3 linked regions of the Nothobranchius furzeri genome follow. The protein of the gene in region 2 purifies or fractionates together with the protein of the main gene of each other region. This does not show direct contact. Links are inferred from orthologs where the notes say so. Each region holds a gene or a part of one and is shown on either strand. Other genes may lie near its edges.

Evidence for each region.
Region 1: the proteins of cebpa (region 2) and mrto4 purify together in Homo sapiens (affinity purification with mass spectrometry; 3 studies listed by BioGRID and IntAct, with this or other methods). This does not show direct contact. The link is inferred for Nothobranchius furzeri from reciprocal best matches to the Homo sapiens genes CEBPA and MRTO4.
Region 3: the proteins of cebpa (region 2) and cdk4 purify together in Homo sapiens (affinity purification with western blotting; 3 studies listed by BioGRID, with this or other methods). This does not show direct contact. The link is inferred for Nothobranchius furzeri from reciprocal best matches to the Homo sapiens genes CEBPA and CDK4.

The regions. Positions count from the first base shown.
Region 1 is NC_091743.1:63,518,488-63,522,137, reverse strand, and holds part of mrto4 (mRNA turnover protein 4 homolog), read right to left. Parts: intron 1,800-3,650; 5' UTR 1,722-1,799; coding exon 1,694-1,721; intron 1,492-1,693; coding exon 1,433-1,491; intron 1,343-1,432; coding exon 1,239-1,342; intron 91-1,238; coding exon 9-90; intron 1-8. UniProt on the Homo sapiens protein: Component of the ribosome assembly machinery. Nuclear paralog of the ribosomal protein P0, it binds pre-60S subunits at an early stage of assembly in the nucleolus, and is replaced by P0 in cytoplasmic pre-60S subunits and mature 80S ribosomes.
Region 2 is NC_091749.1:66,139,063-66,143,321, reverse strand, and holds cebpa (CCAAT/enhancer-binding protein alpha), read right to left. Parts: upstream 2,915-4,259; 5' UTR 2,516-2,914; coding exon 1,643-2,515; 3' UTR 553-1,642; downstream 1-552. UniProt on the Homo sapiens protein: Transcription factor that coordinates proliferation arrest and the differentiation of myeloid progenitors, adipocytes, hepatocytes, and cells of the lung and the placenta.
Region 3 is NC_091743.1:49,241,499-49,245,705, reverse strand, and holds the end of cdk4 (cyclin-dependent kinase 4), read right to left. Parts: intron 2,413-4,207; coding exon 2,303-2,412; intron 1,755-2,302; coding exon 1,704-1,754; intron 1,626-1,703; coding exon 1,490-1,625; intron 1,211-1,489; coding exon 1,109-1,210; 3' UTR 566-1,108; downstream 1-565.

The sequences.
Region 1 (3,650 bases), on a different chromosome or scaffold from region 2:
CTTCTTACCTTATGCAAATTATCTTTGTATTCATCGGTTTGTCCTTTTCCCAAAGCGACAATCATGACTTTGTTTTTGCCGAAGAAGAACCTGTGGCACACAAACGAGAGATGAGATGGGTTTGGTCAAACACTCATTTTCAGAAAGTATCATTGAGATAAATCGTTAAAATGCAATTGTTCACCAGAGGGCTTGAAGCTTTAGGATCCATATCAAGTGCTTCCAAGGGTGTTTCACCATAAAATATTATTATTGACTTTGTGAAACAAAGGTAGAGTTTAGCATACTCGTTCTTATTTCTGCTCATGTCTGTTACATTTAACCCAAACTCTGATCTGAATTAAATGTTGTGCTTCTCAAAAATCTTCTTGTGCTTTAATGATCATTTACTGGTTTCATCACTGCACCTTCAGCACTATATAAGATCTGGTCCCAGTCAATCTGATCAGAGCTGTTTTAGGTTAAGCCAAGCCTGCCCCAGTTACCTCAGATACTCTCACACACAGGCACGCACTGTTTTTTATGCTGCATCTTCTGCAATGTAACCGCTCACCCTTTAACTTTGCCCCTTTAGTTTATTCTTACATATAATTGTGTATTTAAATTTGATCACATTTTATTAATGCATTTCAATTCTGACATTAAAATCTGCTCATTTACGCTGTCACACAGATTTTAATAATCTTACTAAGCTTACAACTGGAAACCACATTGAACTGCCTCTGTGTATGAAATGTGTTAAACAGAAAAAGCTTTAGTGTCATGAACATAATACATTAAATGCTTGCTAAATTAAGTGAAAACAAGTTATTAAAGCTCATTCTTTGAGGCTGGGTGTGAATTTCTTCTACCTGAATCTATTCCTTTTTGTTAAAGATGGGGTCTTGGGACTCCGAATATAGGCAGTTGTTTACATTGTTCAAAATAAGATGAAGTCCACAAGCACTTTAGTATGAAGTCTGTGATTTTATTTAAACAAATTATTTATAAAAAATATTTATTGTGTTTGTTCAATTAGTAAAAAGCCTTTAAAAACAAACACATGATGTTATTAAAACGAGTTGCTTTAAATGTCCTACAAAGTCGCACTGGTGTACAGGTAAATCAGCTAATATGTAATACCATTACAAACTTCGGATGATTCCCACCCACCGCTACTGTAGTTTAACTGGTCACGTGACAGCAAATGATTCACTCATTAACTCATAACTTACTAAAAATAAACTAATTTGTATTACCTGCTGTGTTTCCATGCTGTCCTGATGTCTTTAAGCTTGTTATTCCTCATATTTTCAACTGAAAATATAAACAAGTATCTGTAGGTGTCCACACATTTCCGTAGCTAAAAGAGAAGATCGGATGGAGAATTTAAATGCATTTAGCCAACGCCAGTCTGTGACAGCAGATCGGGGGGAAAAACATAAAGACTCACCTCCTCGATTAACTTCTGCTTTGATTCTAAGCCCTTCTTGGTGGTTTTAGTTAAGGAAACTGAGAAGAAAATGGGGGAAATAATTCAGTTTGATGCCTAAAGCAACGCGACTTGCCATGATGAAGCTAGCATTAGCTTGTAGTGTACTTCCCTAGCAGCATTTATATATCAGTAATACATTTATTAGACCAGAGACTTGTTTAAAATAGATGCCGATGTAATACGCTGTACTTAGTTAAATATGAAAGCGTTTTGGCTTACTTTTCTTGTCTCTCTTTGACTTCGGCATGGTTACCCACAGCAGGCGCACACGTGAAAGAAAAAGGACCCCAAATGTTTCTGTTCAGTGAAGGCAGTCCCAGAGCGCCTGTTTAAAAATGAAAATAACATATTTTAATTACTAAAATGTTGGCTTTCGGGCGCACTTTTTCAGAGGTTCAATTGTGAAATGTGGTCATTAATTTCTTTAACCTTACTATTTTTTTATTTGTAAATGTTAGATTTTTGTCAAAAGTGTGACCAAGTCACTGCTTTGCAAGTCACACGTAAGTCAAGTCCAAGTCAAAGACAACCAAGTCCAATTATAAACAAAGTGCTGCTGCATTTAGAAGTACAAGATCAAACCCAGAACGAAGAATTATTTATGATTTTTGTCCATGCCATGCCACTTTTGTGCTAAAATATCAAATATGCTCAAGTCATTGTCAAGTCAACAGATGTAAGTCGATTCAAGTTGCAAGTCATTGGTGTTCAAGTCCGAGTCAAGTTGCAAGTCTTTATAGATTTTATCAAGTTAAGTCAGAAGTCAGTAAAATAATGACTCAAGTCCAAGTCATGTGCCTCGAGTCCTCACCTCTGTTTTTTTCCATGACACTTCTTTTGCAAAATTGGGTGGTCACTAGATGTGTTTTTAATAAAGCTGTTATTTTAAATGTCTAGTCTATATGTGTAGCTACTTTGTCCATTATTCTACTTGTTTTTCTTATTGAATGCAGTGTCACAAGCTTAAAACAAGACACACCAAATAAGAAAGCATAGTTTTGTGTGACTCTGGTACACACAATACATCTGAAATATGAAACTTTCATTGTGTGAAAACTTCTTGCTATGACACAGTAAAAGCTTTCAACTGCCTCAAAAACAGTGATGTCATTGGGGTTATGAAGGTAAAATGAAGTGTGCAGTTGAAAATATTAGAACTGATGGAAATCCACAAACAACACTTAATAATGACGGAGATTTTATTTAATCATCTGAAAAAGTTTTGTGCATATTTGAGCTGGTCATTTAAAAAATCTAAAGGTCTATTTTTATCAAGATGACATGGCTTTAAAAAGAAAGGGGTTTTTAATTAAAAAAAATGTAACCAAGCAAACAACACTGTAAAAACTTTGGCCTATTAAAGGGCTTATTCTCAAATAAAACAAACTTGAGACAACATGATGTGAAAATATTAATACATTCAATCATAAGGTGAAAATGCTTGCTTCTATGTTAAAGCCATGTTACACAACTTTTTCATATTTTTAAACCATTTTCTCAAGCCAGCATGTGCTAAAATAACCCTTTACAGGGTTAATGAAATGCCACTCAGCCTCCCACCGTCCTCTGTGGCCAGAATACAGCATTTGCAACAACACCGGTGGTCTGAGCGGACATGGATTGCATATCACTGCAGTCTGGTTCCAGCATGTTTTAGATCGTGAACACAGCTGATTTGTTTGATTTAGTTATGAATCGCTCATGCAGACACTAATGAAGGCTGAGGAGACATTTCAGGCATTAGATTAAAGTGTTAAAAAGATGGACGCATAGGGAGGAGAAAACTTTTGCTTTCAAGTCTACTAAACAGACACTAGGGGGTGCTAAAAGCAACCAAAACTGCCATGTGTGCGTTTCATAAGTTACATAGAGCCAGCCTAAGTTTCAACAAAAGTTTTTTAAAGACAAAACCATAATGCAACTCATTTGAAGTCAGCGCACTTTACTTCCACTCAGTTTAATTTAAACCCAGTTACAAAAGGGCCATTGGGTGATAAACTATGGGGTGCCATTTGTAAAGTCAAACAGTCATAATCTAACAGCAATATTTTTGGTTATTTAGCATATCATAAGAGAAAAAATTGAGAGTTCACTTTTTCAAAGTCATATTTTCACCATGTTATTCATACATTCATAAATGTTAAAGTTTCCAAATAAATATTTAGATAGCACGCTA
Region 2 (4,259 bases):
AGCAGAACCCAACCGGGCCATCAATGTTACTGAATGCGCGATGTATCTGATACCACTGATGTGTTTCGTGTAATTTTTTTCATTTGTTTTTTATTCATTTGAGGTTTTTTGTTGGCTCCTTTGTTCGTCTTGTTGTTGAAACTTTTCTGTGTGCCGCTGCTGGAAGCTGAATTTTCCAGAGGAACCTTCCTGAGGGATTATTGAAGTTCCTTCGGAACATCTGAGGGAGTTCCGATTTTACGACATGATGGCAGGTCGCCTGCAGCAGAGTCATGACACAAACAGAACCTTAAAGCACAAACTGAGGGAATAATAATCATTTAAATACACAGGAAACAGAAGCTGGAACCAGTAGATCAGCTGTCTGACGCCTCATTAAGCAGCTGGTTTTAGAGTAAAAATGAATATCTTTGACTTAGTGTGTGTGTGTGTGTGTGTGTGTGTGTGTGTGTGTGTGTGTGTGTGTGTGTGTGTGTGTGTGTGTGTGTGTGTGTGTGTGTGTGTGTGTGTGCACATAGAGCCGAACACTCTCAGAAGAACACCAGAACCAAATTTGATAAAACAAGTTTCTTTATTACTTCAGATTTTGGTTTTTCATTTATATTTTATGTTTATATTACAGAAATAAACAACAAAGTGCTTCTTTCTTCCTCCCTGGAACAAGTCAGAGAACCATCTGAGGGATCGGACAAAGGTCAAAGGTCATCTGAGCGATCAAAAGGCACTGAGTGAAGATGACTGCAACAAGCAGGAAGATGAAGAGTGATGCTGAAACCTGGTTCACATTTAGCTGTTCTGATCACAATAAAACATGTTTAGAGGGGCGTAGTTCTGTTGGGTTCTGTCCAGAACCTGTATCAGTACACCCCCTCCCCATGATCAGTACCATCACTGCCTCCCCATGTCCCACAATGTATCTGGCTTTAGTGCATGAGAGCTTCAGTCTGAACAGGGTCAGGGTTGGGCTTGCAGGGCTTTGGCGGTTCTGTTTGTAACGGTTTCAGTACCGAACAACCCTCAGCCTGGCTTTGCTAGGGTCATTCAGAACTAGTTTTATTAAACATGGGTTCTGGCTCTGACCCAAACTCCCCAGACAGTTTATCTCTGGCAAGTGTGAAGGTGAGTTTGATACCACGTGGTGTCAACAGCCAATCACCTGCAAAACACAGTTCAGCCAAGCAAACAGCTCAGAAACAGGTTTCGGTCCGGTTTGGTTCCGTACATGAGATCGTTTGTGATTAAATAAAATTCTGTAATGAAGGCGTCGTGCACGCAGGCTGGTCCCGCACTAACCTCATCGTAGCTGCACTGAAATGTTCTGAGTGGTTCTGGACTCAGTCTGTTTAAGGCACTGAACATCTGATTCAGCTTATCGGCTTTTGCACAAACGTTAAAGGCACGAGAACACGACAAACAAATAAACAAACAAACAAGTTAAAAGTCTCCAACGGGTTCAGTTTGTTGATGGAAGAGTTCCGTTCTGCTGCTCTGAAGATTAAAATCATCCGGAACCGAACCGGGTCTGTTAAGTTTTCTGCTCCTTGACCCAAAAGTTCTGCATATGTGCAGCTGTTTTGAGAACTCAGCTGCTTCTGTCTCTAAACAAATCCAGCACTCTCCGGTCCAGTCCGATTCAGATCTCTCAGCTGCCCATGGGTTTGAACGACCCGTCCGGCAGCTGTCTGAAAATGCCCCGTAACGTGTCCAGCTCCCGGGTCAGGTGCTCCACCCTCCGCCTGAGCCGCTCGTTGTCGGTCGTCAGCTCCACCACCTTCTGCTGGGTCTCCAGGTTCCGCATCTTGGCCTTGTCCCGAGACTTACGCACAGCCACGTTGTTGCGCTCGCGCCTCAGCCGGTACTCCGGACTGCTCTTATCCACGTGTTTCTTAGATTTCCCGCCTCCCCGCTGCTCGAGCAGCTTCATGCCGCCCTGCTGCAGGTGCTGGTGCGTGTGGTGATGGTGCGGGCTCGGCACTGGAGTCGGTGGAGGCGTCGGGTGGCCCGGCTGGAGGTGCATGGTGGTCTGCGCGCAGTGCGCAATCTGGTACTGCAGGTGCGGCATCTGCGGCTGCTGCTGCTGCTGGTACTGCTGAGGATGCGCGTGCGGGTGGTGGTAGGAAGGGGGCATGCCCGGGTTCAGGTCCTCGTCATCCCGGGGCTCCTGCTTTATGGCCACCGGTCGGAGGCGCGGCGGGTTGTGCTCGTAGAACGGCTCCAGCTTGGACTCCATGTAGTTAGGCATGTAGAGCTGCTGTGGACCCGGACCGCAGTCATACTCTCCATTCATCATCTTGACTTTGTCCTGTCGCGAGTTGTGGTGGAACAGGTCCGCCAGGAAGTCGTCGTTGAAGGCAGACGGATCGATGTAGGCGCTCAGGTCTATGGAGGTCTCGTTGTCTCCGATCTCCCCCCCGAGGTCAGACGGGTCTCTATAGCCGGAGGGGGGCTGCTGGCCGTGGGGCAGACTGCTCAGCAGGGGCCGGGGCGCGACCTCGTACAGGTTCGAGAGCTCCATGGAGAACCTAAAGCCGGGCGGGCATGGCGAGGAGCTCCGGAAATCCAGTTTGGAAAGTCACACACTCAGGTGAGTCGGACCGCTGCGGACAGGAGCCGACCGGAACCAGAGTCTTTAGGACTGACTGACACTTTGTGTTGGAACGAAGAGAAGCTGCCGGTCCGATTCCTGGTCCTCAGTAACCTCCGAGCTGTCAAACAGCGGTTTTATAGTTGGAATGGGTGGGCGGGGACAACACCACACTCCTTCAGTCTGTCTGACTCGAACCCCTCCGGGACCCGGGTGGGACAACAGAACCCTGCAGGTTCTCGGAACCGATCATGATCCCAAGTGTTGTTTAAGGAGTTTGGGTCTCGCTCCTAGACTAAAGGTTCTGATCACCTGATGCGGATCGTCTCCCGAACTGCACCACCCCATCGGAACCAAAACGCTTGACTGATGTTTCGTTTACTTAAAAAAAGGTAAATTAACCAGAATTAAATTAGAATAAAACTTTTGTTTGTTTCACAAAAGAGTCCTGTGTGTGCGCACGCATGTTTTTATGCGCGTAAGTAAATGCCTGCCATACCTCTGTGTATGTGCGCGCGTTCACACACACACAAACACACACACACACGCGCGCGCGCGCGCGCGCGTGTGTGTGTGCGTGTAAAATGCGGGATGCAGCGCCCTCTGTCGGACGCAGACAGACACCGTCTGGTCTGATGTTGGTTCTGGTTCGTTTCAGACCGTATAGAACCGAGCAGAGATCCAGAACATCTCGCACCATCTTGGAGACCTTTGAAGGACCTTTTCTCCTTCAAAAACAACCGCTGGATCCTGTGTTCATGACAGAGATGCTGTTAGCTCTGTTCTGCTAGCATAGCTGGTGGTCTCCATGGTAACGCTGTTGGCTACATTAGCATAACTCCTGTTAGCATAAATAAGGGTCGGTTAAAATGCCATTTCCTCGTCATAAAGATAGTGTGTTTGTTTTAATGAGTATCATTTTAGTACAACATGTAAAATTAGAAATTAGCCCAAATAGTTGTAATAAGTCTATTATTTCGTTGTAAATAAAGAGTGATATTTTAACCACATAGTCCCCATCTGATTGTCTCCCTGAGAGGACATGTGTCTCTGTCTCACTGACATCCGAGACACATATAAAGACTTGTCTTACTATAAACACATCACAATCATAGAACCACAGAACCCATCAGAACTATCTCTGAACATTTGTGATATGGGTTCCTGGGATCAATCTTTAGGCTCTGCAGAATCTGAACTGGTCCTATAGCTTTATCTGAACCTGAACGTGAACATCTGACGCACTCCTCAGGAGATGTATTGAGATGTGAGGAATCCCCCACTGAGACAGAATCTCTGGGTCTGGTTAATCCAGGAACATGGTCCAATAAAAAACCATATGAAATCTTTTAAGTACCTAAAACCTGAGAAGATCCAATCTGATCATGGTTGTTTGTTTTTGTACAGGCATAAAGAGCTGGTGAAACCAGAACTGGTCCAGTTCCAGCATCATTCAGCTTCACATCTCCAGCTGTGACCCTTAAGCAACTGGTTCTTTTTTGATTGTTGATTAAGATGAAGTCAAAAGTTGCAGCAAATAGAAGCTGTAGAGAGTCCAGAGGAGGTTTCAAGATATAACTGCCACTCTCATGAAGCCTCTTCTCATCCTAGAGCTGCATATCTCCCCCTGAAACCTCCTCTCTGCTCCTGAAGCATCCTCTCTCCCCCTTCAGCC
Region 3 (4,207 bases), on a different chromosome or scaffold from region 2:
TGGGGTTGTGTTTTAGCCCAACACCGTGCTCCTGCTGCCTGCAACATCTTCCAGCAGGACCGATTTGGCAGCAATGGTGGGGGGTGGCACGGCCCTCAACATGCTATAACATGCAGATGCGGCTGGCCCTGGGTTCCTTCTAATATAAGACAACGCTAGACCTCATGTGGCTGGAGTGTGTCAGCAGTTCCTGCATGATGCTATGGACTGGCCTGCCTGTTCGCCAAACCTGAATCCAATTGAGCACATGTGGGACATCATCATACACGGACTGCCCAGGCAGTGGAGGATGCTTTAGTCCAGATCTGAGAGGAGATCCCTCAGACCATCCACCACCTCACCACGTGGAGGCCACACACACACTACTGAACCTCATTTTGACTTGTTTTAAGGACATTACATCAAAGTTGGATTTGCCTGTAGTGTTTTTACACTTTAATTCTGATTGTGGCTCCAAATACAAACTTACATGGGTTAGAGAACAAAGTATATTTCATCTGTTCAGATAGAGGATGTTTTATTTTTATAGACAGTCATCTGTAAAACACAACAAACTGACCCAGAATTATTGAATACTTTCTTTTATTCATTTCAGATTTCAGTGTGTGGTGTTTAGTGACATTTGAAGGTGTGAAATTCATTCCACAAAAAACTTTTGTGCAATAACTCAAAAGAAATTCCAATTTTTTAAGCTTTTGTGCGTTTATCTGTAACTGTTTGAAACTTCATTTAAAATGTTCATGATTCAGATACAGCCACTCACATTATAGACAGCGAGCAGCTTCAACACGGGTTACAGCTGTGTAAGACAAACATCACTAACCTATCTGGAGAATGTACGGCAACAAAAGCAGCATTTAAACGAGACATTTCTGCATGTTGACTCCAAGACTAAACATCAAAATCACTAGTGCTGCCCTTTAACTGCTGCTATAACATCTTTACATGTGACTTGTACAAGCTCAAAAACATGGCAGTGCTCATCAAATTCATCCTCACAGAGTTTCATCCTGATTTCTGAAGCAGGATCAACTAAGAAATATTCCCTAAACATAATCTGTACTCAGAGGGCGCTGGATCCTGTTGGTTCTTTTTCTACTGCATGATTTCAACTGGTTGTCTGAGGCGACGTCTCCTCATCCTGGAAATACAGATGTTCTAGAGCGTTCAGCGCTGATATTCGCTTCAAAGGGTCAAAGGTCAGCATTTGCTGTGGAGGAAAGAGAACAGGCAAAAAATAGATTTTATTTTTTTTTTTTACAGTCATTTGGTTGACAACATTCCCCCCACACATGGTTAGCTGTGACACTTTCTGCAGGAAAATATTTCTGTGTGATTTCTTTTCTACATTATATTTTCATATTTCTTTAATAATGTGCTGAAAAGTCATGCATCTGTACGATTCTGCTTTAGTTCAGGAAAGCCCGGGGGTCCGGGGCGTTGGCAGGTGAGAAAAGAATCGGCCTTCAGTTGTTAACTCAAGTCTTACCATCAACAGTTTGGCCCCCTGCTCGTTTATCTCTGGGACAAAGTCGGTGATCGGGCGAGCTTTGACAGCGGGAAAGTTTTTCCTCGACACGGTGACGCCGGTCGGCCACTCCTCCTCCTGCGGCAAGCCGATAACTCTGAAAGCAGATGAGTGAAATGAATGATTTGCTTGGTCGTTCTGGTTGCTGATGTTCCGCTAAGTCTTTGTTACTCACTCAAATATTTTCCCAAGCTGGTCCATTTCTGATTCTCCACAGAATAAAGGTCTTAAAAAACAAAACGATACATGTAAAATTAGTTACGTAATTTTTATTTTAATCATCTAAAACAAATACAGTTCTTCAACCCTGTTGGCTGCTGATGTCATGCTGTTTTCCACCACTAGATGGAGCCACTCTGCACACATCACACATAAACTTCATATCTTCTAGGTACGTCCACCCAGGCTGCTCCCAGACTAAACTCCAGCTGTCAAAATCTGTAAAACTATGTCCCTGAAAATCATCAGCCTGAAATCAAATGCTGACATCCTAGAAAACGTTGATCTCCGGGCTTGTTTGGAAGAGGATGCAGAGCTTTTTTCCTTCCCTTTTTTTTTAAATTCTAAATTTAGTCTAAAAGGCAAATCATCATCAGAAGTTGGGTTATAAACTAGAACTAAGTCTTTAAAAACAAACGGGTTTCACAGATAATCATTCTATCGGATTTCCAGACCGCTCATCTATCAGCTGGAAACATCCCAGTCGTAGCAAACCGCTAAACCCGAGTTGACAGAAGATCAGATACCGGTGATCTGAACGTTATGTTGACTCACTTGCGTCTGAACATCTCAGCAAAGATGCAGCCGGTGCTCCATATATCCACCGGAGTGGCGTACGTGGACTGCAGCAGAACTTCAGGAGGTCGGTACCACAGCGTCACCACCTCCAAGAGAGCCAAACGCAAGACTGGCATTAGTAACAGCACAAGCTTCGCTTCATCTAAGCCAACCTTCACATACTCGAGCTAAACACACGGTGTGTACGCATGAAGCAGAGTTTTGCTTTCGATGTGAGCCTGGTAAACGTCAGCTGATGAATCTGAACGCTGAACTCCTGAGGAGAGCACGCCGGTGCCTCACTGGGCTGCAGATGTGGCTGTTTACAGTCATTCATCAAACCCTTACGAGAAAAAGCAGCGTTCACTGACAACAATGTAAGATGTAGTTGATAGTGCTCTGTGACAGTATTACTAAGCAACCGGTTAAAATTCACTAAAAAATGATGCTAGCAGGCCAGAAACGTAAAGATGCAGAAGTGAGCACATTTCAGCAGGATGTGTTGGTTGAAAGTGAAAAACTAAATAGATCCTGAGTAGAAACAGCCCACTGTGTTAAACACCTTCCTGATGAGCCTTCCTACATAAACCAGAATAGATGTTATACTAGACATTTGATTGTTCTTTTGTTTCATGCTGCTACTTTTGTTATAATCTATAATCCCTAAAACTCTGTAAAGCCAGGCCTGCTGTGTGATTTTCTGCTCATTTTGAGCCAATTTTCCACCCATGCAACAGTCTTTGAGGTCAGGTCGAGTTTTGTGTCGTGTAGTATAGAAGGGGTTACGAGAGGCGGTTAAGACCCCCCGACCAGCTCCCAATCGCACGAGAATCAAGCATATTTAAATTTCTGCTGATCCCTTGTGAGGGTATGACACCGCTGAAGCTGCACCGCGACCCAAATGTACCAGAACCGCTCACACAGCGCACGCGCCAAAATGTCTGGCCAGCCATATTCATCTCCACACACGTTTCCACCTTTTACTTACAGTTTTCTCTGCACATGTTAATGTTAAGAAAGCACCTTTTGTATTCATGTCAAGTAAAAGCAGATCCCAAAACCTCGGTTTAGTTCCTACATGCCTTTCATTCTTCCTCTACTTCTATTCCCCATAAACCCCTGCGTGTCCTCCCACAACTACGGCAGGCCTCAAGGACAACAGACATCAATGACGGCACAACAGTCTCCTCTCTTTCAGGTTTCTGGATTCACAGGTTCGACCCGTTGAGAAAAAAACTCTTAAAACACATTCTTTGGACCGGCGTGTTACTACCACAACAGTGCGAGCGGTCAGAGCGTGAGAACATGACTCGTGGCTGTGCCCTGTGAACAGTGTCAGATGACGAACAACCAACGAAAAAGTCGCACAGTGTACGCCCTGTATTCGCCATCTTGTTTTTTCTGTCATTACCCAAAGCTCATGACTACAGGTGAGGACTGGGATCAAGACCGGCAGGTAAACTGAGAGTAGAGATGCACTGATGTGACATTTTTGGGCCGATACCGATATTAATATCACTGTTAGGGCCGATATCGATATACTGACATTAATGCTTCTAAAATCAGCAGATTTTGTAAAGACTGAATATTATTAAAGCTGAATTTACATTATTATGTACACACACACACACACACACACACACACTTACTCTACTGAGATGATTGCAATCACTGTCACTTGACTAAAATACACAGCACCCCCTCACCCTCTGAAACTGATAAACAAATGGAAACAAGATGGAAAAAAATACCAGTTAATATCGACCTAGTTTTATTTATCGGACCGATACAGATATGTTAAAAAATGGCCGATACCGATATATTGTGCACCCCTAATTTAGAGCTTTGCTTTCTGGCTTAGCTCCCTCTTCACAAGTGGCTGGTTTAACGTCCACATCACTG